Linked DNA regions of Mus musculus. The protein of the gene in region 1 purifies or fractionates together with the protein of each later gene. This does not show direct contact. Links are inferred from orthologs where the notes say so. Each region holds a gene or a part of one and is shown in the gene's direction. Other genes may lie near its edges. The genes, in order: Canx, Bsg, Wwox, Mogs, Atp2a2, Ppt1 and Hsp90b1.

What was found.
Region 2: the proteins of Canx (region 1) and Bsg purify together in Homo sapiens (affinity purification with mass spectrometry; 3 studies listed by BioGRID and IntAct, with this or other methods). This does not show direct contact. The link is inferred for Mus musculus from reciprocal best matches to the Homo sapiens genes CANX and BSG.
Region 3: the proteins of Canx (region 1) and Wwox purify together in Homo sapiens (affinity purification with mass spectrometry; 3 studies listed by BioGRID and IntAct, with this or other methods). This does not show direct contact. The link is inferred for Mus musculus from reciprocal best matches to the Homo sapiens genes CANX and WWOX.
Region 4: the proteins of Canx (region 1) and Mogs purify together in Homo sapiens (affinity purification with mass spectrometry; 3 studies listed by BioGRID and IntAct, with this or other methods). This does not show direct contact. The link is inferred for Mus musculus from reciprocal best matches to the Homo sapiens genes CANX and MOGS.
Region 5: the proteins of Canx (region 1) and Atp2a2 purify together in Homo sapiens (co-immunoprecipitation; 3 studies listed by BioGRID and IntAct, with this or other methods). This does not show direct contact. The link is inferred for Mus musculus from reciprocal best matches to the Homo sapiens genes CANX and ATP2A2.
Region 6: the proteins of Canx (region 1) and Ppt1 purify together in Homo sapiens (affinity purification with mass spectrometry; 3 studies listed by BioGRID and IntAct, with this or other methods). This does not show direct contact. The link is inferred for Mus musculus from reciprocal best matches to the Homo sapiens genes CANX and PPT1.
Region 7: the proteins of Canx (region 1) and Hsp90b1 purify together in Homo sapiens (affinity purification with mass spectrometry; 4 studies listed by BioGRID and IntAct, with this or other methods). This does not show direct contact. The link is inferred for Mus musculus from reciprocal best matches to the Homo sapiens genes CANX and HSP90B1.

The regions. Positions count from the first base shown.
Region 1 is NC_000077.6:50,322,620-50,327,184, reverse strand, and holds the start of Canx (calnexin precursor), read left to right. Parts: upstream 1-1,511; 5' UTR 1,512-1,692; intron 1,693-4,565. UniProt on the Homo sapiens protein: Calcium-binding protein that interacts with newly synthesized monoglucosylated glycoproteins in the endoplasmic reticulum. It may act in assisting protein assembly and/or in the retention within the ER of unassembled protein subunits.
Region 2 is NC_000076.6:79,702,794-79,707,191, forward strand, and holds the start of Bsg (basigin isoform 1 precursor), read left to right. Parts: upstream 1-1,564; 5' UTR 1,565-1,724; coding exon 1,725-1,791; intron 1,792-4,398.
Region 3 is NC_000074.6:114,438,256-114,442,643, forward strand, and holds the start of Wwox (WW domain-containing oxidoreductase), read left to right. Parts: upstream 1-1,396; 5' UTR 1,397-1,516; coding exon 1,517-1,623; intron 1,624-4,388. UniProt on the Homo sapiens protein: Putative oxidoreductase. Acts as a tumor suppressor and plays a role in apoptosis. Required for normal bone development. May function synergistically with p53/TP53 to control genotoxic stress-induced cell death.
Region 4 is NC_000072.6:83,114,138-83,118,435, forward strand, and holds the start of Mogs (mannosyl-oligosaccharide glucosidase), read left to right. Parts: upstream 1-1,368; 5' UTR 1,369-1,443; coding exon 1,444-1,789; intron 1,790-1,881; coding exon 1,882-2,111; intron 2,112-2,490; coding exon 2,491-2,687; intron 2,688-2,839; coding exon 2,840-4,298. UniProt on the Homo sapiens protein: In the context of N-glycan degradation, cleaves the distal alpha 1,2-linked glucose residue from the Glc(3)Man(9)GlcNAc(2) oligosaccharide precursor in a highly specific manner.
Region 5 is NC_000071.6:122,464,224-122,468,047, reverse strand, and holds part of Atp2a2 (sarcoplasmic/endoplasmic reticulum calcium ATPase 2), read left to right. Parts: intron 1-252; coding exon 253-341; intron 342-1,117; coding exon 1,118-1,220; intron 1,221-1,966; coding exon 1,967-2,098; intron 2,099-3,824.
Region 6 is NC_000070.6:122,846,084-122,849,907, forward strand, and holds part of Ppt1 (palmitoyl-protein thioesterase 1 precursor), read left to right. Parts: intron 1-2,349; coding exon 2,350-2,452; intron 2,453-3,824. UniProt on the Homo sapiens protein: Has thioesterase activity against fatty acid thioesters with 14 -18 carbons, including palmitoyl-CoA, S-palmitoyl-N-acetylcysteamine, and palmitoylated proteins. In contrast to PPT2, PPT1 can hydrolyze palmitoylated proteins and palmitoylcysteine.
Region 7 is NC_000076.6:86,692,620-86,695,495, reverse strand, and holds part of Hsp90b1 (endoplasmin precursor), read left to right. Parts: coding exon 1-19; intron 20-876; coding exon 877-1,146; intron 1,147-1,336; coding exon 1,337-1,582; intron 1,583-1,982; coding exon 1,983-2,119; intron 2,120-2,876.

The DNA.
Region 1 (4,565 bases):
GTTCCCAGTCTCTTTGTGGACAGTATAGTTTAGAGCCATCATGTCCTCATTTTTATTAAAATTTCACATTTATTAATGTATGTATGTGAATTTGTATAGAGGTCAGAGTACAATTCAATCTCTTCTTTCACCACGTTGAGTTCTGGGAATTAAATTCAGGCCATCAGGTTTGGTGGCAAGTGTCCTTACCTGCTGAGCCATCTCCATTGCTCCCAAAACATTTTTAGTATATGGATCCCCCAAATACCTGAGAGTCACTTTTTTGCTCTTCTGTACAATTTTCTCATCTCAAGAACTTCCTTCCAACTCCACCTACAGAAAATTTGCATATCTATGAGGTCCAGTTCAAGTCTTTGTCAGTTTAGACAGAAAAGTTCTGCCTCAACTCCTCTACTCCTTCAGTACTGACATATTTTAACACCTCTCTGCAGAAGTCGATTTTTTGGCTTTCTTAAATTCAAGGCCATCTTGGGTAACACAAGCCAGAACTCAACCTAAGTAAATTTAGAATTTTTTTTTAAATTATGTGTACTGCCTGTGCCAAGCTGGCTTCAAATTTTCATTTTGAACATGCTCTTTATAAGGCAAATAAGGAAAGCAATTTCTCTTCTTTAAAATTAGGGAGAGAGAATTGGCGGTTACTAAATTGACCCAAACATCAAATCCTTACTGCCTTTCTCTTGGGGTGGCAGGAACAAAGCTCGTTTCACATGTAGAAAAACCTGCTGTTTCTTTCCACATTATTCAAAGCTTTGGGTCACCAAATACAACCCGAGGCGATCAGGATTCTCAAGGATCTAGCCAAATCCTTAGCCACTTCAATCTTACAGCGTTATCAGCATATTGAAAAACGAGTGGGTTATGAAAAGGCTATTTTAAATCTGCACATGGCATCACCCTTTTCCTCAACTCTGTCGCTTAGGTATGTCTGATTTTAACGACTAAAATCAGGAAACAGCACGGGCACATGGGAAAGTGACTCCATGTGGCTTGATTGTGAATCTAGGTAGTGTTTTGTTAGGTAAAGAGGTCTCAGGCTCCTGAGCTCAGGGCGATGACTCCGCAGGAAAGGCGGTGTCTGCTACCCAGAGGGATTTCACTCACTGCGCAAGCACACCGCCCGACCTCTCACCATTTGTGATGAAGGCCATAGGTCCCAGGCGGGGTTGGGACAGAGTTCCTAACTCAATGGGTCGGAAAGCCGTCTTCTGGATGTCCAACACACCCGCCCTGAGGGACTAGGGCGACCCACGCGAGAACGCGTGCCAGATCCGTCCGCCCTCCGCGGCGCGCGCCCGCCCGTTTGGTGACGGCCCGCCTTCCTCCTTCATACCCAATCAGCAACCACTTCCTGCCTCGCTATTGACCAATCACCACGCTCCACGAAGAATAGCCCTAGGGGGCGTATGGGAAGGCGCTTCGAGCGATGGCTGTATCTACCAATAAATTCTTAGATCTTGCGCAAAGGGGCGGGATCTGACGTTCGTTTTAGCCACTCAGGAACGAGGGGCGGACGCGGGGTTGGGCTTCGTGCGGTGGGGCTCGCTCGCGCGGCGGCCGTAGCCGAGGCCTCTTAGTTCTGCGGCACGTGACGGTCGGGCCGCCTCTGCCGCTGTCTCCACTGCAGCACGGGGCCGGGTGTGCGGGTGGGAGAAGGTGAGGGAGCCGCCAGTGGTCCCCGGGAGGCTCGAGGTGAGACGGGAAGCGTGTGCGGGGATCTCAGGCCCGGGACGAGCCTTGGGGGACTGGGCGAGCGGCGCCGTGGCGGAGGGGGTCGGGCGTGGCTGTAGGCTCGACGACTGAGGGGTCGGGCGGGCTTTCGAATGGCGCAGGCCTGGGCGGACGCGCAGGGCAGTGAGGAGAGCGGCCGGGTTAGAGAGGCTAGCCTGGGCAGCGCCGCCGGGGTCGGGAGGCGTGGCAGGTGTCCTGGGGTTTCCCTTGACCTCTGAGAAAGCTAACAACTTCCTACGGCTTTGCTTCTAGAGCTTTCTTAGGCCCTGGCCAGGCCCACCCAGAGGTGGGCTGAGTAATCCGGTACAGGTGTGGTATTAGAATTCGGCCTAGTAGGTAGCCCAAATAGCAGGGAAAGGTGAAGTAAATCCAGAGATAAGCGTTACAGATTAGAAAATAACTTGCCCAAAGGGAAGACTGGACCATAGCATCCTGATGAGGGAGTAGAATGTACTAGAACGTGTACCGCTTGAGAAACTTAAGGCTTAACTATTAAAGCACCTGCCTATTCGGTGGTGGATAGATAGTAATCCAGTGTGGGTGTTCACAGGACCTTAAGAGCAGGAGATACAAGCGAAAGTTCAGTTAGTGAGGGGAGGAAACTGAGGCCTAGAAGTTTGAAATGACTGGCCCAAGGTCATACAGGTAGTTCTAGTCATCCAGTTGGGATTGTAACTGAGCACTAGACCGTTTGGGTTAAAAGTCCTGGTTCAAGCACCTAACTGCAATTAATCGGGGGAGTGGGAATTTGGGAGATTTTTTTTTTCTACTTTAGGGCTCAGTCCCCAGGAGTAGACAGAATGACTGATGGGCCTTGTATTGAATTCCGAGGGAATGGGAATGAGAAATTGGATGTGTAGTAAAGGTTCAGTGGGTAGGAATCGAACTGGCTTCTTGAAATCCGAATGCCTTGGTCATTACACTGATACACTAATGTTTATATTGAAGGCCTGTGTGCCAAGACCTGAGGACACATTGATGACACTTTGTGTATTAACTGCTGGTCATGACACTAGTGATTGCATTGCTAGTTGTGTGAAGTTAAACCAAACTGAATACTAAAAGCTTGGCAAAGTTGAGCTACAGTCTCTTTACCCTTCAGAAATGGAAGAATCTGCCTGTTTTTTAAAAATAATTTGCCCTCCCACCCCTTTAAAGGGGGACAAGTTGGGTTACCTTAAAAATCTTTGTATATTTTCCAGTAACCTTTGAAAGGGCATGAACAGAATCAATTCTCATGTTGTACTTATACTGTAATTAAGCTTACAGGCCAGGCAGGGGTACACTACAGGTGAGCCAGGCCCTGAAGAACTGTATATAGTAGTGAGCCATTCACAATAGGAGTTTACCGAACTGTCTGTGAATGGGTGTCACCTCCTTGCTATCTTAACTCAACAGTGCAATTAACTCCTTAATCTTTCAAGAGCCACAAGGCATGTGCATCTTGACAACACACCTTGCATCCTTGTCCTGCAGAGGTCACTTGCCCAGTAAGAGAACTTTGAGGGAGTAGAGTGGCAGTTGCTAAGAATAACTGCAGAAGACTGTCCAGCATGATAACTTTAATTCCTATCCTTTAAAAATGGGAATGAAAGAAAGAAAGAAAGAAAGAAATGGGGATGAGTGTGCTACTTGCTTTGCCTTTGAGAGGGCAGATACTAAGAAACTGTTTGGGAAAGTGTAAGGAAATGGACAAATAGTATTGGCAGCTCATAAAAAGTCCTAAGAAGTAATTAAAGTGCCAAAGATAGTTGTAGTCTGTATAGCTTACTGTAAAACTCATTAGGAAAATGCTTGTTAAATGCTTTGTTATTGCTACAAATGCTAGGAAAGAATTTTTAGGCTTATTTAATTTTCTGTGTATGTGTGTTTTGCCTGCATGTATGTCTGTGTACCATGTGTGTGAGACCCATCATATTGGTGCTGGGAATCAAACCTGGGTCCTCTGGAAGAGCAGCAACTATGTCTTCAGCCCTGAAATTTTTCTTTTTTCTTTTTTTTTTTTTTTAAGGAATCTAGACAATTTTTATATTGTATTCTTGTCTTTAAAAAAAATCATTTTAAGATTTATTTAGGGCTGGAGAGATATCTCATCGGTTGGGGGCACTGGCTGTTCTTCCAGAGGTCCTGAGTTCAATTCCCAGGAACCACATGGTGGCTCACAGTCATCTCTAATGAGAGCCGATGCCCTCTTCCGGTGTGTCTGAGGACAGTGTACTCATATACATGAAATAAATCTTTAATATGTGTGTGTGTACTATGTACATATATATATATATTTAAAAATATGTGTATGTTGGTGTGAATATATATGCAATATATTATTCATGGGGGCCAGTAAAGGGCATTATATTCTCTAGAGTTGGAATTACAAACAGTTGTAAGCTGCCCAACTGGGAATTCAACTCTTAATCACTGAGCCATCTCTCCATCCTGCGTATTCACATCTTAAAGTGAATTAATAGGAAAAAGTTTCTTTTAAAAAAAATCACTTATTAGCTGGGTGGTGTGGTGGTGGCTCACCTTTGATCCCAGCATGAGGGAAGCAGAGGCAGATTTATCCCTGACTTCAAGACCACCCTGGTCTACAGAGTGAGTTCCAGGACAGCCAGGGCTACAACAGAGAAACCCTGTATCAAACAAAACAAAACGAAACAAAAACAAAAAACCCACCACCACCAAATTACTCCTATGTTTCTGTTAATGAAAACAAATCCAAGAAGGTGGTATATAATTCTTGGCCTAGGCCCAGGGTTCCATTCCCAACACATGAAGCAGAAACCCCCAAATATGACATGTGAGTAAGGTATAGGTCTCATTTATAGAGCAGGTCA
Region 2 (4,398 bases), on another chromosome or scaffold:
ATGAATAAATAAATAAGTAAATACTTAAAAACACAGAGACATACTTACACATAAATAAATAAATAAATACTTAAAAAAAAGTTATTCCAGGCAGGGTGGTGCACACCTTTAAACTCAGCACTTGAGAGGCAGAGGCAAGCAGATTTCTGAGTTGGAGGCCAGCCTGGTCTACAGAGTGAGTTCTAGGACAGCCAGGGCTACACAGAGAAACTCTGTCTGGAAAACACACACACACACACACACACACACACACACACACACACACTCACACACACACACACACACACAAATTATTTTATTTATGTGAGTACACTGTTGCTCTCTTCAGACACACCAGAACCTCATCTGTAATGGGCGTCAGATCCCATTACAGATGGCTGTGAGCCACCATGTGGTTGCTGGGAACTGAACTCAGGACCTCTGGAAGAGCAGTCGGTGCTCTTAGTCACTGAGTCATCTCTCTAGCACCCAAATAAATACTTTTTTTTTTTAAAGATTTATTTATTTATTATATGTAAGTACACTGTAGCTGTCTTCAGACACACCAGAAGAGGGCATCAGATCTCGTTACGGATGGTTGTGAGCCACCATGTGGTTGCTGGGATTTGAACTCCAGACCTTTGGAAGAGCAGTTGGGTGCTCTTACCCACTGAGCCATCTCACCAGCCCCTTTTTTTTTTTTTTTTTTTTTTTAATATTAAAGGCTTCACGAATTTTCGTGTCATCCTTGCGCAGGGGCCATGCTAATCTTCTCTGTATCGTTCCAATTTTAGTATATGTGCTGCCGAAGCGAGCACAAATAAATACATTTTTGAGATAGGACCTTACAACTTAGTCTAGAACTGGCTACGTAGCTAGAGCCCAAGCTGTCCTCAAAACTCAGATGCCTGCCTCGCCTCTGCCTCCCGATGTTGGGGTTAGAAGCCTGCGCCACAGTGCACGACCTTCAAATATAATTTGTTTTTGATTGGTTTGGTTTTATTCGGTTTTGGTTTTTTGATACAGGGTTTCTCTTGCAGCTCTGGCTGTCCTGGTGGTACACACTCTATAGATTAGGCTGTCCACCTGCTTTGTGTCTCCCGAGTGCTGGGATATAAAAGGCATGTGCCACCACCAACAGGCTGAAATGTAAGGGTTTTTTTGTTTTGGTTTGTTTGTTTGTTTGTTTGTTTGTTTGTTTGTTTGTTTTTGAAAAGGACAGCCGAGCATCGTGGGTCAGGCATTTACCCCAGCACTCCATCCAAAGGCAGAGGCAGGTGGATGTTTGAGTTCGAGGTCAGCTTGGTCTACAGAGTAAGTTTCAAGACAGCCAGGGCTACACAGAGAAACCCTGTCTCAAAAAGAGACAGAGGAGAGAGAGGGGGTAGAGAAGAGCGGGGATAGGGGAGAAAGGAGAGGGGAGGGGAAAGATTGGGGGTAAGGGAGGGGGGGAGAGAGGGAGAGCACGAGCGAGGCGAGAGCGCGCGCGCGCGAGCTCAAGGGCAGTCCAGGCTCCAGGCCCCACCCCCTCGAGGGTGTGGCCTGTGTGGTCACGTGCCAACGCTTCTCCACCCGCTCCGCTCCTGTAGCGCGAGCGGGAGCGGCGGACGCTGGGTACGTGCCTACTCCCTGTGTGCCTGGCGCCCCGCCCTGCGACGCCGCGTGCGTGCGTACGTGCGTGCCTGCGTGCGCGCGCCCCGCCCTTCTTATAGAGCCGCAGTGGGGCAGCTCCTGGACGAGGCGACATGGCGGCGGCGCTGCTGCTGGCGCTGGCCTTCACGCTCTTGAGCGGCCAAGGCGCCTGCGCGGCGGGTAAGAGCGGGGTGCTGGGACCGGGCTGGGGTCACGGACTTAAGGTGAGCCTCCGATTTCGGGGACTCGGTGGTTCCCTACTCGGGCTCGAGGCTTGGAGATTGTGGAGGAGTAACAGTGGCTGTGGGTGACCCTCGAGTTGAACCTAGCCTCGACTGGGCATCGAGGTGGAGGGGAGTGATCTTAGAGATGAGGCCCTGGAGAGACAAATCAAAGGTTAGGACTCTGGGGGAGACGTCCTAAGGTTGTGGGAACCGGAGGTGGAAGGAGCCGCCACCTTGTGGTGGTCCCCACCAGGACATGGGCTGGAAGGTAATTTGGATGGATTTGGATTACAGAAGTGAATGGGATGACCCCAGATTTTGGTCAGCTGGAGATGGAAGGAGCCGCTTCCCTAACTGTCCCAGCTCCCGGAATAGGGCTGGGACGTGACCCTGAAGGTTTGGGGATACAACAATGACTATAATTGGCTTAGGTTTTGGGGAGTTAGGGAAGGTGTGGGAAGAGGTGACCCTGACGCTGGAAGACAGTAAGGCTCTGGGGCAACATCTCCAACGTGAGTGAGGGCGTCCGTGGCCAGGGAGCTGTCTGGACCATCTTGGTGTCTCCACCTGCGTACCAGGGCTGGAACGGAACCCTAGTAATTTACCTCCTCCTGGTGTTGGGGCCTGGGAGAGTGAAGATAAAAGAAGTCAGCACGTTGAGGGTTCCACACCTGAGAGACAGGGCTGGAAAGTAACCATGGGCCAGAGGGACATCTGGCAGGACATCTGAGAGAGGTTTGTGGGACCTGGGGTGAGGGACAGCAGTGTTGCAGGTGGCTTCCTCCAGGATTGGAGAGATCTGGGGACTAAAGAAGCTGCCACCTTGGGGAGATCCCAAATTTGGAAGACCTGGGAGTCGAAGGAACTGCAGTCTTGGTGTCCCCACTCAGGGAACAGAGTGAGGGTCACAGTCCCTAATTTAGGAGGGCATGGAGTTAGAGAGGTCTGTTACTTTAGTGTTACCATCTGGGCAAGGGGAGGATGCGAAATAGACTTTCCTACAAAGGCTGTCTCCAAGGTTTGGGGTCACTAGGGGGACTAGAGTAGGAGGAGCTACCATTTCAGGGTGTCCATACTTGGGGGACCAGGCAGGGAGATGATTCAGAGGGTTTGGGGTACAGAAGTGCCTGGGGAGAGGTCCACAAGTTTGGGCATATGGGTGGAAGTGAGGTGACTAGGAATTTGGGGGAGGTCCTTGATGTTTGGTGATGTGAGGGGGATGGAGAAAGGATTGGAAGGTCTCAGTGGAGGAAGCTGCTGCATTGCTGTTTCTACTTAGTGAAGGAGCACAGCATTGCTTGGGGAATGTGAAAGAAGAGGATGAAGTTGGTGGGGGATAGCATTGCCTATTAGTAATGTCCTCAGGTCTCTGGAGGATGTGGATTGGAAAGGGGGTGAGAGGTGACCCCGTGGGTTCTTGGGGTAAAGAGGTGCCCAGGGATGGGTAGGCTTGGAGGGCTGGGGATGAGTGGACTCGCCCTCACATGTGAGGGTTGGGTGAGGAGTTCCTGAGAGGCAGTTCCCGCCCCTAGGTTTGGAGGAGTCCTTATCAGCTGTCCCCAGCTGTCCCTGTCCTCCTTGGGGTGAGCTTGCAGGTTCTCCATAGTCCACAGGGGCTGTATCCCTGTAATGGCCACCTGTCCCTGCCCCTCTGGGCTGAGGCAGAGCTTCAGGCTGGTCTAGGAGTTCCCTGGGAGCCAGTGCCTGCGAATGGCTCCGGACCCCAGGCTCAGGCACTTGCTGGATTATCATTCCTGGTGGGATTTCTGGTGGCCAGGGCTCTGCACACTCAGCTTGCTCCCACCCTGGAGTCTGGCCCATTCTGGCCTTAGATCCTTGCCTGATGAAGGCTCAAAAGGGCAGCTGAGGTAGGAAGGCAGGGATTCAGGGTCATGGCAAGGTTGAACATGTGGTAGGCCTCGAACACATGGGGACTGCTCTCCTGCCCTCTCCAGACAGCAGGCAAAGGGCAGAGCCAGAGCTCCACTGGAGAAGTGGGCCATGTGACTGCTGCCCCCATCAGCAGGTACAGGAGGGGCTGTCCCTGGCAGCAGTGCCCGGCGTTAATTCTGACCCACTTTTTCCAGGCCCTCTTCTTCACCATCAAAACATCTTGAGGTGCCTCCATGAGGCTGGCTCTTGGTGCAGATAGCTGTCCCCTGGTGAGATGGAGGCAGTTGATTTATTCTGTCCTGGGTAGGAAGCCTGGCTGGGCACAGGCCCAGTGGCTTTCTGCCTGGGGTTAAACAGACCTTTGCAATGCCCGGGAGCCAAGCACAGAGTGTAGCTTACGGGCAGGTCCTAACCTTTCCTGGGAACAGACCCATAGCCTACAGCCTGGGCAGGGCCCAGGTCAACCAGTGATGTGTTTCCCACTATGCAGTGGGGGAGGGGCTCTGCTCAGAGGGCTACCCTGTGGCATGGACACTTAAGGTTTCCTGATTATGAGGCTGAATTTGATATTAGGGTCTCTTCAGGCTGCTCCAAGCACTTCACACCCTGATTTCGCATGCTTGCTCTGAGTGAGTGACTAGGCTGGCCTCCCTGGCTAGGCCAACTCAGA
Region 3 (4,388 bases), on another chromosome or scaffold:
GTGCATCTTGTTGTTGCAAATTTCTACTAGAGAAGAAAGTAAACAATCGATTAAAAACAAACAAACAAACAAACAAACAAACAAAAAACAGGTTCAAAGGTTCCTTGCTGGGAACCAAGGCTTTGAACTGCAGGCTGATAGCGCCACCTGGCGTGCAGCTTCGGAAGCACAAGCTTGGATAGTTAAAAAATCCTCATTTCATAACTACTGTGGCGCAGATGTTTTTACAGAAACAAGATGGTCATAAAATCTCCTTAGGGTATGACTTTGTGGGTGTTGGCTTTGTCTCACACGTATTCAAGCTCCTGAAAAATCTTCTTTGCCTGGGTTTACATGCAGATAGATCCTTGTTAGATCAAAGTCAAAGCTAAACTTCCAGGAGCCAGAAATGATAAACAAATAGGGGAAGGGACTAAGTGCTGTTGTGAAGGTAGGCTTCACATTGTGGGTCTAGGATATTTATAACCAGGATTTTTTTTTCAGGTGCTTTAAAAGTCTGCTTTGCAAGTTTGTAATCAGGTGCCGCCTATGAACAAGAGAACCAAGTTATGGTTGGAAGACCATTCTCTCTTAATAGAGAATCTGGAGGCATGAGAATTTGCATGTTCTCGATTTTTGGCTCCCTTTATAGCATAGGCTGGCCTCGAACTTGTGAACTTGTGATCGTTTTGACTTACCCTCCCAAATTCTGGAGTCACTTAGTTCTCCAAGTGTAGGTTTTTTTTTTTTAAATGGCATATTTACATAAACAACACAGATTGTGAATGGAAAAATACCTGGATAGTATCAAGTCAGGACATTTACTCTCGCAGGTGTGTCCAACCTGAGGCTCGTGGCAACACGTGGCCCGGGATACTAATAAATGCTGCCCAACACAAAAATCCTAAACTTTAAGCATTGTGAGATTTTTCTTTTCTTTTTCCTATTTGGATATTCGATTGAGGGCTTCTCTAGTGTAAATTTTGGAAATGACCATGTCACAGTATCATGTCGTAGTGTCAAAAGGTTGTACACCTGCAGGGCATGGGACGAAACTGGAGCTCAGAATAATCTCATCAGAACCTTTCCCCCCTCCCCGCCCCCCCTTTATAGTCCAGTTGAGCTTGGACTACATTTCCCAGGATACTTCACTGCTGGGACTCATTCAGGATTGGGTAAAACAATAAGGAAGTGCCTTCGGGTCGCCCAGCAACGTGCAGAGTCCTGCATGATGACTGGGTAAGCACGCCCCTTCCAGGAGGCTGAGGAAGCTTATTCCAGTTTCTGAGCCGTTCCTGCTTTTCCTTCCACCCCCCACGGCCGTTCCATCTCTTCCGCGTTCCCTCCCGTGCTCTTCTCAGGCTCCGCCCCCTTTCCCGCCAGTAGCTGCAAAACCCGGAAACTGGATTACAGCCGCGGACCGGCTGGGCGAGCAGTGCGCAGGCGCGAGCGGTCTGGTCCCCTCCCGGACGCGCGCGGCGCGGTTGAAGCCAGAGTGAGTTGCTGAGGAGAGCAGGCGGCTACTTCTGTCTCCAGCATGGCAGCTCTGCGCTATGCGGGCCTGGACGACACGGACAGTGAGGATGAGCTGCCTCCGGGCTGGGAGGAGAGAACCACCAAGGACGGCTGGGTGTACTACGCCAAGTAAGCGGCCTTGGAGCGGCGTTCCTGGGAGCCGTGTCCTGCGAGGCCTGGACCCTGCGCTGCCCTGCCAGGCGGGCATGCGCATCCGAAATGCCAGCCACCTGTCCCAGGCTGTCCCCCGTTATTAGGGGATCTGGGTCAAGGTCCCGTCACCTGGCCACCCGCCGCACGCCCCCTGCCGCTCACTAGGTGGCACTGCACCGTGCGGTGGTGGCGCCTAGGTCTTACTCCTCTAAAGAGGAAATAGAGAAAACTTCAAAGCCAAGCTCCTGCCATGGGGACCTGATCTGGAGGCCCAGCAATCTGTATTTTTAAGCAGATGTCCTGGATGGCTCGCAGTGGTTTCCCAGGGAAGTCTTGGAAACCTCCACAGAGCCTTTCCCTGTTGCTAACCGTGACCTTGGGCCACTGAAAGCAAGCCCCTGACTTTTCTGTTCTCCTCATCTCTGAAATGAGCAGACACAAGAATGAATCTGTGCTGTGCACAAGGCACTCAGTGGAGAGGCTAGTAGGTTGCCCCGCAGGCGTTTTCTGTTACTTGGACTGTATCTGTGGCAAAATTGCATAGGCGTGATAGGGGATAGTAGCTCCCATAGGGGGAGCTACTGCAGCTGACTCTATGCTTGGGGACCTCTGTTCATTTTTAAGAAATAGATACTTAATGGACAAAATGCTAGGTTTTCATACAGTCTTGATCAGGCTCTGCCAGTCAAAGAATGAAAAAGCGGGAAATTCGCAATGTAGCAGGTAGCAGTGGAGAAGTCTCCAACACCTCCGACAGCAGCAGGCACAGTCAGCAGGCTGAAAGGCACTCTGTAGGGGAGGACTCGTGTTCACAGGGCAGACACACATGGAGAAAACAACTGCAAAGCCAAAGGGAACTCTGGAGCCGAAAAAATTGCAGCCTCTTCTTGAGGGCTTTGGTTTTAAGTCATTGAGGAGTTTTCATTCCCTAATTTAAGAGTTGGTCAGTTTGAAGAAAAGATAAGGGTTGGTCAACCCACATCTGTTGGGTAACGTGTCCTGATGTGGTCTCGAACTTGCTGAGCCAGTCATCAGCAACAGCTGACTAGCAGGAGAAAAAGCCCACAAGGACTTTGTTTTAAGATGCCAGGCTTTCGACTCACATAAAGAGTGTGAGGAAGAAGCTGGCTGTCTTGGAAGTTCACCACCTGTGTCACCTAGCCATGGTTCCTCTCCCTGTCTGCCTTCCAAGATGTCTATCTGCCTCCAACCCCCGAGTTTCATGGTCTCCTTTTTCTTATGAATATTGTGTACTTTTCCTGATTTTTTTCTTCATATCAAATACTTCCTCTTCTATTTTCTTATATATCTGTGAAATATTTTTAAAACAGGGTCTCATATAGTCGAGGGTGGCCTTAACTTGGTTAGGTGGCCGAGGTTGAGCTCCCATTTCTCCTGGGCAAAGTGTGCATGAACAACACACCTGACTTTATGTCTTTAAAAGCTAGGAGACTCAATCTTTTTCAAGCTTTCTATGAGAGTATCTTATCACCTGGCTTTCAGAAAACAAACTATTGTATTAACACCTGTAAGTGTATTTTTAGTTTTTAATAATTAACTTAAAAAATTATATACAGACCAGACTGGCTTCAAACTCACAGAGACCTTCCAGCCTCTGGGGTTAATGGCACATGCTACAGTTTTGTCTAGCAGTGCTTCCTGTAGCCCAGGCTTGCCTAGACTTTCTTTTGTAAACAGGATGACATAGTTCTTGATGCCTCCACCTCCCAGATATGTAATTACAGGGTTTGTACTACCCTACCTGGTTCCAGAAAGACTTAAAAGATAACGTTCTTGCCCTGTTATCAAATTAGGAACTAATGTGCCCTGGCGTCTCCCCACTGATGGGCTGTAAAGTATGAGATTTGCAGGTACTCAAAGCTACTCACTGCTGCCCCTGGTGGCCAGATAGAAAGAAACAGAAAAGCTTTGGTGAGTTCATTCATTCAAGAGTCCTTAAGGGCCAGGCCGGTGGGTGGGCATTGGTGATGTCCAGCTAAGTGTGGTGCAGCTGCCATTCTTAAGGATCTCTGCAATACCAGCAAGTGATTTCTAATGATATAGTTCCAGTGCACTGTGTCCAGCGTGAGGTGGGTGGGTGGGTGAGGGAGGCCGCCTAGGAGAGGTGTCACTTGCCCTGTGTCTCAGAGTGCTGTAGAAGGTGGCCTCAGGTGGTAGGAAGTCAGGCAGGTTGGAGGGGGCAGTGGGAGGAGAGACCCCAGGCAGCCCTCTCTCTGTGGTATAGAGTTGTAAAGCCTGAGACTGGTGAGAAAGGAATCAGTTTGCAGAGGCCCTTCTGTGCTTCACCAAGGACTTGGATTTTGTTGTCGGACTCTAGAGCCAGCCGATGATCTGAAGCCAGGGAGTGATAGTGAGTTTGTGTCTTCAGAAGGACTGAGTGGCTCTGGAGACATGAGTGGATTGTGTGAGCAGGAGGTGCTGGGGTATAGGCATGCCAATGGTCCTGCATTGGGTGCTCCTACGTGGACCTCAGTGTGTGGAGTCTCAGCCCTAGAAAACGTCCTAGACTGTGCTGCTCCAACCACCTGAACTTAGCACTGTTTCTCAGTCCTTGGCGTCCGCTGTCGGCGTCTCGTCCATTGGTGATGATGTAATACAGTTTACTTCCTTTCCGAGGGTGGATTTAAGGAAATCAAGCTTAACCTTCGAGTGCCTCCTTCAGTGCCTGGCTGTGTCCCTCACGGGAGGGATGCCCTGTCACTGGTGACAGGTGGTTCTAG
Region 4 (4,298 bases), on another chromosome or scaffold:
TCAGTTGGCAGAGTGCTGGGCTAGCACTGAGTACACCAATCACTTGTGTGCTTGTAACCCAGCACTGGGAAGGTAGAAGCTGGAGGATCAAAAGTTCAAAGTCAGATTTGGCTACACAGCAAGTTCCAAGCCAGTCAGGGATATAGACTTTGTCTTAAATTTAAAAATCAATCAATAAAATTATAGGCTGTTAGAGACAGACTTGTCTGAAGTTATAGAACTGCTTAAAGAAACAGACCCTACCTGGGCTTCCTTGTGAGTCCACTCCAGGAGGAACGGAAGTACAGAGTATGAATAGTGAAATAGCTTAATTCATACACACTTGGGTTTTAAGCTAGTCCCTCCCAGCTCTGTGGCTTGGACCCAGGTACTTATATTTCCTAGGCCACCGTTTTCTGCTTCCAGATTAGAGCTGGATAGTGATACGTAAACATAGCTTAACAGTCCCTAGCTCCTGACACTCTGGAGGCTGAGGCAGGAGGCTGTCTATCACTATCAAGCTTTGGGACAACCTGGGCTATATACAAAGCAAGACTGTCTTAACCAACATAATTTTACATAGCAAGTTGGAGGAAAACCTAAACAAACATATCCCCCAAACGGGAAACTGGCATTAGTGTGATCATATGGACAAGTGTGTAGGACCCAAAGAGGCCATCAGATCCTCCGGACGTATTTGTAAGATGCCATGTTGGTGCTGGGAACTGAACTATCCTCTGCAAGAGCAGCAAATACGTTAACCATTAAATCATATCTCCCGCTTTCTTCCTTACTCGTACTTTTTTTTTTAAAGACATGGTCTCACTGTGTATCCCAGGGCGGCCTCAAATTCACAGAGATCATCCTGCCTCTGCCTCCTGAGTACTAGGATTAAAGCTGAGAGCCACCACGTCTGGCATTTATTTATTTATTTATTTATTTATCAATCATTTTATTTGTGCTTGCGAGTGTGTGTGTGTGTGTGTGTGTAAACGTGTGGAGGTGAAGTGCGCTCATGCCACAGCATACGCGTGGAAGTTCGAGGCTGTATGCATATTTGTAGCCCTGATGTGAGGATCAGAGGACAACTTGCGTAAGTCTGATTTCTTTCTGCCACGACCTGGGTAAGGGGATATAACTTAGGTCGTCAGCCTCGCGAGCCAGCGCCGTTACCGTCGAGCCATCTCTCCAGGCCATAATCAGTAGTTAAGCAAGACAAAAGAGAAGAGGCTCAGAATGCCATTGCTTCTCTCCCAGCCCTTGAACTCCAAACCACTGACGCTTCTCACCCATCGAGTCCTGGTCTCCGTACCGAGTCAACCAGCCACAGCGCTTCCGGGCTTCGGGGCCGGACCTGACGTGAAAGCGGGATTTCCGGTGGGGCGGGGCGCTCGGGGAGGCGCGCGGCGAAGGCTCGGTCCGCTGACCGCACGGTGGCAGCCGGGGAGCGTGCAGGCTGCCCGCATGGCCCGGGGCGAGAGGCGACGGCGCGCTGCGGCCGCAGAGGGGGCGCGGCCGCTGGAGAGGGCGCGGGCGGCGGGCCGGCGGGATGGCAGGGCTGGTGGGGCGCGGGGCTCGGCGAGCGGCGCGGCCCTGGCCGTGGTGGTGTTGGCGCTGGCCTTCGGCCTGTCGGGGCGCTGGGTGCTGGCGTGGCTCCGTGTGCGCCGCGCGCTCACACTGCACCCCGCGCCGTCTGCGCTGCCGCCGGACTCCTCCAGTCCTGCCGTGGCCCCGGAACTCTTCTGGGGCACCTACCGCCCACACGTCTATTTCGGCATGAAGACTCGCAGCCCCAAACCACTGCTCACAGGTAACCCTGGGGCGGGTGAGTGGGGAGGACCCAGCAGTCTTCGAAGACTTAAGACAGCCTCTGTTGACTGACGTGGCCATTCTGCTTCCCAGGACTGATGTGGGCACAGCAAGGCGCCACCCCGGGGACCCCTCCTAAGCTCAGGCACACGTGTGAACAGGGAGACGGCGTGGGTCCCTATGGCTGGGAGTTCCACGATGGCCGCACCTTCGGTCGGCAGCATATCCACGATGGGGCCTTAAGGCTCACCACTGAGTTCGTCAAGAGGCCTGGGGGTCAGCACGGAGGGGATTGGAGCTGGAGAGTGACCGTAGAGCCTCAGGTCAGGGCATCAGGATCGTCTTTGCACAGCCCAGACTTCCCCACCCTTCCCTTTCAGCAGCAAATGCAGTATGAAATGGAGGTTGACAGCCGGGACACCAGCCTGGCTGACCATGTCTGCCATCTCCTTGTTTGTAAAGTAGATATCACAGTGACGCCTAACTTAAAAGATTGACTGAAACAATCTACGTATAATTCTAAAGCCTCTGTCATTTCCAGGAGGAATCCTGTTCAGGGCCCTTTGGCTCAGCCCACTGGGTGGATCTACCTACCCTCAGTCTTGGCAGATGTATGTTTGCCACAGTTCTTGTAATCCCTGCTGAGACTGGGTCTCAAAAAGATGTTTTTCTGATGCTTTTGTGTGTTCCTTGGTCACCCAGGCCTCAGGTACACCTTCCTTCCCTTTGGTGTCCCTGTTCTTCTACGTGGTGACAGATGGGCAAGAGGTCCTACTACCAGAGATCGGAGCCAAAGGACAGTTGAAGTCCATCAGTGGGCACACCAGTGAACTTGGTGACTTCCGCCTCACACTTCTGCCGCCAACCAGTCCAGGAGACACTGTCCCTAAGCATGGCAGGTAACTGGAGGATTGGTGCAGGGTGGTACAGGGGTGCTTGGGAGATTGACTTAGCCTGGTTTCTATGACTCCCTCCTCCCCTTCCCACCAGTGGGACTGGAGAGGCATCCCTTTCATGAATAACACTCCTTATTTGTCTTCTTGCCTTCAAGCTACAATGTCTTCTGGTCCTCCAACCCGGGGCTGCCACAGCTCACAGATATGGTAAAGAGCCGCCTAAACAGCTGGTTTCAGCACCGGCCCCCAGGAGCCTCTCCTGACCGCTACCTCGGCTTGCCTGGATCTCTGAAGTGGGAGGAGAGAGGCCCTAGTGGGCAAGGGCAATTCTTGATCCAGCAGGTGACACTGAAAGCCCCTTTCTCTGTGGAGTTTGTGTTTGAATCTGGCAGTGCGGCAACAGGAGGAAACCAAGCCTCTGGGCGGCTGGTAGGCAGCCAACTGACCCAGGCCCTGGAGAGCCATGCTGCAGCCTTCAAGGAACGGTTTGAGAAGACCTTCCAGCTAAAGGAGAAGGGCTTGAGTCCCGAGGAACAGGCTTTGGGTCAGGTTGCCCTCAGTGGCCTTCTTGGTGGGATTGGTTACTTCTATGGACAGGGTTTAGTGTTGCCAGACACTAGCATGGAAGGGTCTGAACAGAAAATGGACCCTGCCCTGTTTCCACCTGTCCCTCTTTTCTCTGGGGTGCCTTCTAGGTCATTCTTCCCACGAGGCTTCCTCTGGGATGAAGGCTTTCACCAGCTAGTGGTCCAGCGATGGGATCCCCACCTCACCCGGGAGGCCCTAGGACACTGGCTGGGGCTGCTCAATGCTGACGGCTGGATTGGGCGAGAGCAGATTCTGGGGGATGAGGCCAGAGCCCGAGTGCCCCCAGAATTCCTAGTGCAACGGGCAGCCCATGCCAACCCCCCAACCCTGCTCCTGCCAGTCGTACACATGCTAGAAGGCCATGACCCTGATGATTTGGCCTTTCTCCGCAAGGCTTTCCCCCGCCTGCATGCCTGGTTCTCTTGGCTCCATCAAAGTCAGGCAGGGCCAGTGCCACTATCCTACCGCTGGCGGGGCAGGGACCTAGCTTTGCCTACCCTACTTAACCCCAAGACGCTGCCCTCAGGCCTGGATGACTACCCTAGGGCCTCGCATCCTTCCACAGCAGAGCGGCACCTGGACCTGCGCTGCTGGGTGGCACTGGGTGCCCGGGTGCTGTCCCAGCTTGCAGAACAGCTTGGGGAGACTGAAGCTGCTGCAGAGCTGGGCCCATTGGCTGCCTCTCTAGAAGAACCTGGAAGTCTTGATGAGCTGCACTGGGCTCCTGAGCTGGGGGTCTTTGCTGACTTTGGGAACCACACAAAAGCAGTACAGCTCAAGTCGAGGCCCCCACAGGGGCTGGTTAGGGTGGTAGGCAGGCCTCCACCTCGATTACAGTATGTGGATGCCCTGGGCTATGTCTCTCTTTTTCCTTTGCTACTACAGCTGCTGGACCCCAGCTCACCCCGCTTAGGACCCCTGCTAGACGTTCTAGCTGATAGTCGCCATCTCTGGAGCCCTTTTGGGTTGCGCTCTCTTTCAGCCTCTAGCCTCTTTTATAAACAGCGTAACACTGAGCACGATCCA
Region 5 (3,824 bases), on another chromosome or scaffold:
ACTTCCTTTTTTGTTTTTTGGAGGCAGGGTTTCTCTGTGTAGCTTTAGATGTCCTGGAACTTTGTAAATCAGGCTGGCCTCAAACTCACACAGAGGTCTACCTGCTTCTGCCGCCTGAATGATATGATTAAAGGCCTGCACCACTACCACCTAGCACAAACCACCTTCTGAAATGACAGGATTTTTCACTGTAGACAAGGAATTCTTTTGTGTATATCTTACATAAAACTTTTGTTTTGTGTTTCCTTGTAGATGTTCATTCTGGACAAAGTAGAAGGTGACACTTGTTCCCTTAATGAGTTCAGCATAACTGGATCCACATATGCACCAATTGGAGAAGTGTGAGTAAGCTCTGTCACTATGGTGACTTCTGGTTAGACCATGAGGGATGGGTCTAGAAACTGTTGCTGTTGACAGAGGTCTGACTTAGTGATGGACCTAAGATATGCCTTGCTGTGATCCCCAGAAGCTCTGAATAAACAAACAGCAGGATGTGCATAGTGACACTGTGGCAGGTCACAAGATCGTAGCCAGCCTGGACTCCGAGAGAAACTGTCTCTTGTGTGCTCTCTCTTAGACTCACACAAAAGAAACTGTTGCTAGATGGCTGACTGGCTCAAGTTAGTGGTTTTTAATTAATAATACCTTTTGAAGCCTAGACTTGCTGGTGAAGGCTTTGTTTTGTTCTTCACTTACTGGTACACTGTTGGGTTTTGATGAAAATTTCTGGTCATTCAAATTTTTTTTGAGTCTATTCCAATTTGTTCTTCCCAAACTCCATTTTCATCCTTGGGGACAGGGGGCTGTCACATGCCTACGGAAGTTCAGGGCCATGCTGGAATAGAAAGTGAGTTCTAGTTTTCAACAAATGGGAGGTAGAGTGTAAAAAGCACTTTCTCTGTGTGTGCAGCAATGGGAGTCCATCTCACGACCCTTAGTGGTGAAGGAGAGGAGGACCTTCCACAATTTGTCCTCTGACCTCCTCTGTACATATGTGCCGCATTGTGGCATACAGCTTCTGTTTAGGTTCTGTTTGTTTGTTTGTTTGTTTGTTTGTTTGTTTTAAAACTAAAGTTGAGTAAAGCTGTGATCTAGAAATGTTTTTCTCTTTTTATAGGCAAAAGGATGATAAGCCAGTGAAGTGCCATCAGTATGACGGGCTTGTAGAGTTAGCCACCATCTGTGCTCTGTGTAATGACTCTGCTTTGGATTATAATGAGGTAAGACTCCTTGTAATGTTCTGATGCTGGCTCAAGGGTAGGGTGAGTGGAATTTTATTTCTGATTTCTAGTCCCGTGGCCTGGCTGAAAAAAGGCCAGGTGCCCTTCACAGACCTGCAGCTGGGCACTACAGCTTGTTTTACTAAGATACATAGTTGTCATGATGTTCTGACCACTGATGCACCCTTTAAAGGACCAGAGTTCCAGCTACAAGTCTTTCTGAGAGTGAGGGTGAGGACTGTACTTTTTTTTTTTTTTTAAGATTTATTTATGTATGTGAGTACACTGTCACTCTCTTCAGACAACACCAGAAAAGGGCAACGGATCCTCCCATTACAGATGGTTGTGAGCCACCACGTGGTCGCTGGGATTTGAACTCAGAACCTTTGGAAGAGCAGCCAGTGCTCTTAACCGCTGAGCCATGTCTCCAGCCCCAGGACTGTACTTTTAAACACCAATTGCCATGTATCCTCGAGCACAGTCTGGAGCTGAAAGGGTTGTTTTGGTGGTGTAGTGAAGAGTGATAACCAAGAGAACCTTTTACAAGTTAAATAGTGGGGTTATTGATTTGCTTTCTTTTTCAAAGGTCATTAGAATAATAAACAGTGACCTGAAATGGTCAAGGACTTTAAATGAATAAACATCTTAATATCTGGGTTTGGTGTCTCATGGTTACACCGTCTTTTCTCACATGAACCGGGGAGGACAAGCTATTCTGCTGACATTGACTTCTTTTGACAATGCAGGCAAAGGGTGTGTATGAGAAAGTTGGAGAAGCTACCGAGACTGCTCTCACGTGCCTGGTGGAGAAGATGAATGTATTTGATACTGAGCTGAAGGGGCTTTCTAAAATAGAGCGTGCAAACGCCTGCAACTCGGTCAGTATTGAGCTCAGCACAGTATGCTGCTCTTCTTCATTACACTGTTGGTTTAACTGTTGTTCTTCGGCATTAGTTTCCTGATGGTCACAGTCAGGTACGATGGTCTCTCATGCCTATATTTCTAGAGCTCACGATGCAAATACCAGGAGAATTGCCACAAATTGTAGAACAGAACTCATTAGACAGACGACCAAATCACATTTTAAAAAACGGACCAAAACAAAACAAAAATAGCCCAGCAATCATTAGTACCTTGACATAGGTGTATCATAAGGGCTCTACCAAGGGAGCTATCCCTAGTCCTGAGAATACCCAGCCCTCCTGCCTGCATCTCAGTGTCTTTCTCTGTGCCTCTCCAGTAGCATAAAGAAAATAATTGTATGCTTTTAACATTAGAGCTGTCCCTTGCCCTAATTGTCATTTGACACCCCATTTGTTTAACTCGGGTGAAAAAAACTGTTGAGTGTTCATTCTCACTTTTTTCTTTTTGTTTGGTTAGTTGGTTGGTTTTTCCAGACAGGGTTTCTGGCTGTCCTGGAACTCACTTTGTAGACCCGGCTGGCCTCGAACTCACAAATCCGCCTGCCTCTGCCTCCCAAGTGCTGGGATTAAAGGCGTGCGCCACCATGCCCAGCTTGTTTCATTTCTGTTTTCTCAAATCCATTCCAGTCAGGCTCTTGCCTCCACCTATCAGTCCATCAAAACCTCTTTTGGATCACTTATAACTTTGTGCTGAATCCAGTGGTTAATTTGTTTATAACTGTTAAATGTAACAAAATAGACAAGTCAGCAGTTGTGGATTTTGGACCTGGAGATGGCTCCATGGTTAGAAGTTTTAAGGGCCTGGATTTGACTCCCTCCTCACCCCACCCCGGCACCTAAGAACTGTCTGTTTCTCCTGTCAGACGGTCAGAGGGTGCCCTCTCCTGCCTTCCATGCACCAAGCATACATGAGGTGCAGGTGTGCATGCCAAATTAAAATGGTGTGTCTCGGAGAGACAGCTCAGTGGTTAAAAGTACTGACTGCTCTCTCAGAGGACCAGCCAAGGTTCGTTTCCCAGGGATCTGACATTTTCACACATGCATGCATTCAGGCAAAACACCAAAGGTCATAAAAAATTAGCACTAAATAATTATTTTGAGAAATGAAAAAGAAAGCTAGAAAATGAGGGTTCTGATGTATCCCAGAAATCAACCTAATGACTACTGAGATGGAAAACAACATTTGAACAACAATCACCAAAACTTGTTTGTTAGTTTGGTTTTGTTTTTTTGTTTTGTTTGTTTTGTTTTGTTTTTCCTGTTCTGTTCTTCCAAGACCTTATTTCTCAGTGTAGCCCAGGCTGTCCTGCAAGTTGCTCTGTAGACTTGGCTGTCTAGAACTCAAGAAATATGCCTGCTTCTACCTCCTAACCCTAACCACCACACCCACCCGTTTTTCTTTTTCTTTCCTATTTTTTAGTTGAGGCTGGGGGTTCTTTTAGTATTTTCAAATGCATACAGATGACTCAAAATAGAAAATGCTGCTGTTCCATGAAGCAAGGCTCATCAATTAATCATGCAGACTATGTTTTTAAAAAGTCAGCCAGCTAACCCTGATGATATTGAAGTGTGTTGATAACTATCAAGTTCTCTATGGATTTGTTTTTAGAGTGTGTATTTTGTGGATGGGCAAGGCCAGCAGCAGGCCTGTGGTTAGCATTGCTTGTTACCAGGACACAGC
Region 6 (3,824 bases), on another chromosome or scaffold:
TAATCCATGTCCTTCTGATGTTTTGTATTTCCGTTTTCTTTCATTTTTCCTTCTTTCCTTTATTCTTTCCTTCCTACCCTTTGTTTCTTTCTTTGCTCTTCCTCCTCCTTTTTAGATAAGGTCTTGTTTGGTAGCGTAGGCTACCCTCAAACTCTAAGCAATTCTTCTGCTTCATCTGGCCAGATGTTGAGATCATAGGCATGTATACCCATCGTGTGTGTGTGTGTGTGTGTGTGTGTGTGTGTGCACGCACATGTATGGGGGGCACATGAGGAGGACAGAGGTATTACATTTTTCTGGACCTGGAGTCATGGGTGATTGTGAGCCATCTTGCATGTGTGCTGAGAACTGAATTTAGGTCTTCTGTAAGAGCTGTTGCTGCTCCTAACTATTGAGAGATCTCCACAGTCTTGCCTACTTTTTAAAAATGCAGTATTGCCAGGTGGTAGTGGCTCATGCCTTTAACCCCAGCACTCAGGAGGCTGAGGCAAGTAGATCTCTGTGAGTTTGAGGTCAGCCTGGTCTACAGATGAAGTTCTAGGACAGCCAGGGCTACACAGAGAAACCCTGTCTCAAAAAGAAAAAAGAAAGAGAGAAAAGAAGAAAAGATGTGGTACTTGGATTTGTACCCTGCATCAGCCACCCTTGTCAAATCCCATCTCTACATAATGGGACAGAGTAACTATCACCAATGGAGGAGTAGGGATTGCAAAGCTCTGTAGCACAGGCAAGTCATTAGTAGCCATCTCTTCTACGTAGTTGATTAGATTTCATAGAGATAAGAGTCTGAGCGCAGGGGCTGGAGAGATGGCTCAGTGGTTAAGAACACTGACTGCTCTTCTGAAGGTCCTGAGTTCAAATCCCAACTACCACATGGTGGCTCACAACCATCTATAATGAGATCTGGCACCCTTTTCTGGAGTGTCTGAAGACAGCTACAACATACTTACATATAATAAATAAATCTTAAAAAAAAAAAAAAGTCTCAGTGACAGTGACAGTTGATAGTTAGGAGGACACGCAGAACTGAGTTGAGCTGTGTGGCTGTGTGTGTAGCCTGATGGTGATACGGTTGTCCAGCATGTGCAAGGTCCTATGCTAGCACTACCGGGAAAAGGGAAACATAACAGTGTTCCTGTTCTCTGACAGTTGTGCTGTACAACTAACATTAACTAGGGTGGAGGCTTTTTGTTCTAATTTGTGGTACCACTTAGAAATGTCCATTTGAGGGGAAAGGCGCGTCACTGGATTAGAACTCCTCTCATGCTGTATGTTATTGTCAACATGATTGACAACAGAAATTAAAGCTTGGATGCAGGCTTTAATATTCTTTTTATTTTATGCATTTACTTTAGTTTTTCGAGACACAGTTTCTCTGGGTAGCCCTCCCTGACTGTCCTGGAACTCACTCTGTAGACCAGGCTGGCCTTGAATTCACAGGGATCCACCTGCCTCTGCCTCCCGCTTGCTGGAATTAAAGGTGTGTGCCACTGCCCAGCAATTTTTTATTTAATTTTCTAAAAGCTTTATTTTGTATTTATGTATTATATTCACATCATTTCCAGCCCTCCAACCTCTAGCTCCTCCCACTTCCTCCTAAATTCATTGCCTCTTCTTTAATTATCATCAGTGTGTGCGCTCGCGCATATTGTTGGGGATAAAACCCAGGGTCTCCACGTGTGAAGCAAGAACTCTGCCACAAAGCTGCACCCGAGCTCACATTTGGCCTTCTGAACCCAAGGTGCTCCATATCTGTGGATTCAAAGCTCTACAGCTGAGAACTATTCTGGGAAAGGCATTTGTGTGTGCCTAGAATCCCAGAATTTAGGGGTTGGGGATAGGAGGATTGAGTTTGAGTTCAGCCTGGGCTTTATTAGCCCCTACCCTATCTTCATAAAAAGAGAAAGGGGAGGGGTGGCAAGGGAGGGCAGAGAAAAGTATTCAAGAAACCATTGAATCTGTACTGTTAATATACAGACTCTTTTCTCTCTCCCTAAACAACACACTGTAGTAACAACCCATGGAACATTTGCACTGCATTTAGTGTCAAAAGTAATTCACACAGGAAGGGGAAGTGCACGGAGGAAAGTATGACTGGGGAGAGGAATGGGGACGCGGAACCAGATGAGTTTCCCAGAAAGAGGATGAGGTAACCATGTGCTGCAACAGCCACACGTGCTGTATGTAACAGCCACACATGGGAGGCTGGGGCAGAGGTCCCTGGCGGATTGCCAGAGGGAAACTGGCAGTACTTGGACGTTTTTATTTTTCCTGTTTCACGGTGCCTGCTACAGTGGCACTCAACATGTGATTATTAGAGTAATACATGGCTGTCGTTTTCCTACCCAGGTGTCTTTGGACTCCCCCGATGCCCAGGAGAGAGTTCTCACATCTGCGACTTCATCAGGAAGTCACTTAATGCCGGTGCTTACTCCAAACTTGTGCAAGAACGGTGAGTGCAGCCAGCTGTCAGGTGCAGACTGTGGGAGTGCCCTGCTAGCATGTGTGCTCTCTGACTCCAGGAGCGGCTGCTAGGGGTATCACCACAGTTCATAACTCTAGTCTCGGGATCCTCTGGCCTCCAGGAGCATTGCCTGCACATGGTGCGCAAACATACATGCAGGTAAAAAACCCATATACATAAAAATAAAAATAAATAAATGTGGGGCTGGAGAGAGAGTTCAGCAGTTAAGAGGCTGTTCTTCCAGAGGACCAGGGCTCAATTGCCAGCACCTACATAGCAGCTCACAACTATCTGTACCTCCAGCTCCATAGGACCTGGCTCTCTCAGGGACACAGACAAGCATGTAGTCAAAACACCAGTGCACAATTAAAACTAATTTGAAAAAATAAAAAATAAACTAATGAACAAATCTTAAAAAAAAAAAAAAATTGGCTCGATGTAGTGGTAGACATAGGGACAGAGGCAGGCAGATCTCTGTGAGTTTGAGGCCAGCCTGGTCTACAGAATGAGTTGAGTTCCAGGACAGCCAGGGCTACACAGAGAAACCCTGTCCAAAAAAAAAAAAAAATTAAATTAATTAAAACTAAATTTAAAAAAATAAAAGGACTTGAAGGAGGCACAGAGAACAAGAGAGTAGCGCAGAGCCAGCACAAGATCTCAGCATGTTTTTGAAAAAATACAAACAGAAGGCCGGCTGGGCTGTAAGAACCATGTGGCTCAGCCAAAAGGTTTTACCTCCCTCCATAGAAGGCTCATTGCAGAAAACCATGCTCTAGAGCCCCAGGAAAGCCTGGAGACTGGGGGATGTACGGTAAGTGGGCAGGTCCAAACTAGGGCCTTTTGGAAACCTGAGGCAGGAACAGTCTGAGTCCCCAGTTCCCTGACTCGAGCATCCAGGTCACTACCTTTTTCCACCCTGGACCCTGCCAGGAGACACAATCTACTCTCTCAGCGATTTAACTGGACGACCCAGATTTAGAGCTAACGCTATGTCCCAGGCAGGAAGTGACTAAGGGAGAATTCTCAGCGGGGTGGCAACCTTCCTTTATTTAATCCTAGCACTTTGGAGGCAGAGGCAGCTGGATCTCTGAGTTTGAGGCCACCCTGCTCTCCATAACAAGTTTCAGGACAGCCGGGGCTACAGAGATCCTGTCTTGGAAAAAAAAAAAAAAAAAAGTAGTAATAAAAAAGACACCTAAACCATACCCTACATGAGCTTCCAGACTGAAAGCTTGCTGAGTACTGTGTCAAGGACAGAAGAAAATGCATACTGCCGTGCATTCGTGTTACACGTCAAGAACAGATGCCAACCAGGAAGGATCTGCGAAGCATGCCCACCCAGAAGGCAGCGACGCCAAGC
Region 7 (2,876 bases), on another chromosome or scaffold:
GCAACATAAATTGCTCAAGGTGAGAATTTCTAGTCAGGCTTTCTGCCCGATGGTTGGAGTCAGAATTATCAGTAAGCTACTCTACACCTGCTTTCTTTGTAACTACTAGCAATTTTAGAGAGTGGTGTTACCCAGGAGTAACAGAGTAGGAAACTATAGAGATGTAACTCGGTGTCAAATTTATTTGCTGTGCTTATGACCCTGGGTTTGAACCACACTGTGTTTGTGAGTTTGCGCAAGCACAGTCAGAAAGAAAGCAGTTCTAGCAACTAGATGTTGAAGCAAGTGCAGGAGGGCTGGGCTAGTCTTGAACTATTCAAAGAAATTCTGCTGGACACATCAGTGCATGCCTATAATCTTAATAGCTTGAAGGAATGAGGTCATAGTTAAGTGAGGGTTTATTAGCAGTTTTAGGCTACCCTAACTTAGGACTATCTCAAAAAGGAACTTCTTTTATTCTGAGATTATTGGGTCTCAGAGCTGATACATTCCCCCAACATAGTAAGGAATACCGTTTTGAACAGAGCTGAAGCCAGGGAACACACCTACCAGTTGTCTGGTCCACAGTCACCCACATACTAGGCCTTTCAATAAGCCCCCTTTTTGCCAGTATTGTAGTGATTAGAAGACTAGGTGGGGTTTTGTTTTTAAACATTTGAAAATATTAGTCATTCTGTCAACATATCTGAGTTCTAGCATTGGAATATATTAGAAACAGTTGTCGTTAATTCTAACACAGTCTGATGTGGGAGTGCCCTGGTGCTTCCTGTCCCTTGCTGAGTGGTGTGGCAGTTGTGCTGTCTCAGTTGCTGCTATCCTGGTCTCAGAAGCAAAGGTTTGAGATAAACCTTCCTAACCAGATTCCATTTTCTTTAGGTGATTAGGAAGAAGCTTGTCCGAAAAACTCTGGACATGATCAAGAAGATTGCTGATGAGAAGTATAACGACACTTTCTGGAAGGAGTTCGGCACGAATATCAAGCTTGGTGTGATTGAAGACCACTCAAATCGAACACGGCTTGCTAAACTTCTTAGGTTCCAGTCTTCTCACCATTCAACTGACATTACTAGTTTAGACCAGTATGTGGAAAGAATGAAGGAAAAACAGGACAAAATCTACTTCATGGCTGGGTCAAGCAGAAAGGAGGTAAGATGAAGTGCAGCTGCTAGGGTCCCTGGGAGCTGGAGGCATACAGCCAATGTGGGAGAGGAAATAAGTTAATTGTGTAGCTGGGATAGTTAGGCAGACACCAGAGGACACTACCTTTAGTCTTTGTCTCACACAGCTAATGTGCCAAGGCAGAACTTGAAAACACATACTTCTTTTAATCTTGTAGGCGGAATCTTCTCCATTTGTTGAGAGACTTCTGAAGAAGGGCTATGAAGTCATTTATCTCACAGAGCCTGTGGATGAATACTGCATTCAGGCTCTTCCCGAGTTTGATGGGAAGAGGTTTCAGAATGTTGCCAAAGAAGGGGTGAAGTTTGATGAGAGTGAGAAAACTAAAGAAAGTCGGGAAGCAACAGAGAAGGAGTTTGAACCTCTGCTCAACTGGATGAAAGATAAGGCCCTCAAGGACAAGGTATTTGGGGTTTGCAGACTTCAGTGTCTGCACATAGGAATTATCAGCATGCTAATCCATACTCAGTTTGTTCATTACCACTAGCGATTGTAGACAGTGGCATGTGCCTCACCTGTAACCTCGGGTGTAACAGCAGGGACCTGGAGACGTAGCTCAGTGACAGACTCATTTGCTGTGCTGAAGACCCTGGCACCCATCCCTGCCAAGAAGCTTCCTGTTGCTATATACTGATGTTGTACTAAGTTTTTACAGGTTTAAAGATAAATTTGTAGTTGAAAGAAAATCCAGATTGACTGAGTGTCCCTCCAGGATTCCTGAGTCCTTCTGTCTGTTCTCTATGATGGTGACTAGCACTGCTTACTGCTGATCCTTACTTCTGTCTAACGTTTCTCATTCTAAGATAGAAAAGGCTGTGGTGTCGCAGCGCCTCACAGAGTCTCCCTGTGCTCTTGTGGCCAGTCAGTATGGATGGTCTGGCAACATGGAGAGGATCATGAAGGCACAAGCATACCAGACGGGCAAGGACATCTCTACAAAGTAAGAAACGGGATGTCCCTACCAAGATGCCAGCTCTTATTCTCTTGATCTGCTACATGAATCATCCTGAGCTTCCTTAGTTTGCTTTAGAGTAATTACGAATAATGTCCATATTTACATCACGACTCACTAGGGGTTTGGTTTTGTTTTGGGTTGTTTTGAGACAGGGTTTCTGCAGAGTTCTGGCTTTCCTAGAACCCTGTAGACCAGGCTGGCCTAGAACTTACGGAGACCCATCTACCTCTTATCTCTGCCTTTCCCTACTGCTGGGGTTAAAGGCGTGGCAAACCATGCCTGGCTTTCTAAGACTTAGGTTCTACGTAAAGAAAACTGCTGTATATTTTCTATCTAACATTGTAACGCCATTTAAAACCCAACTGTCAGTGTCAGGAAAGTTACTGACCATTCAGCACTTACTGCATTGACACTGTAGTTCTGGCCTTTGGGAGCATCAAACTGTTTCGATGACTCTCAGCAGTGCCCTAAGCCCTAGATGGATGTGTGGTATATCTGGCCTTGGAAGATGCTAATGAGCATGGGTGTGTATAGAACGTACAGGAAATTTAATTGGAATTAATTTAAAAATAAGTGAATTTTTAGGGACCCATACTGGTAAAGGCATATTGGAGATTATATATTTACACGGCATCCACAACTATGTGGCTCATTGGTATAGTTAAATTATTAAGGGGATGAACAAGACATTAAACCAGCATAACTTCATTCACCCAGCAGAACTTGATTACTTTGACTCATC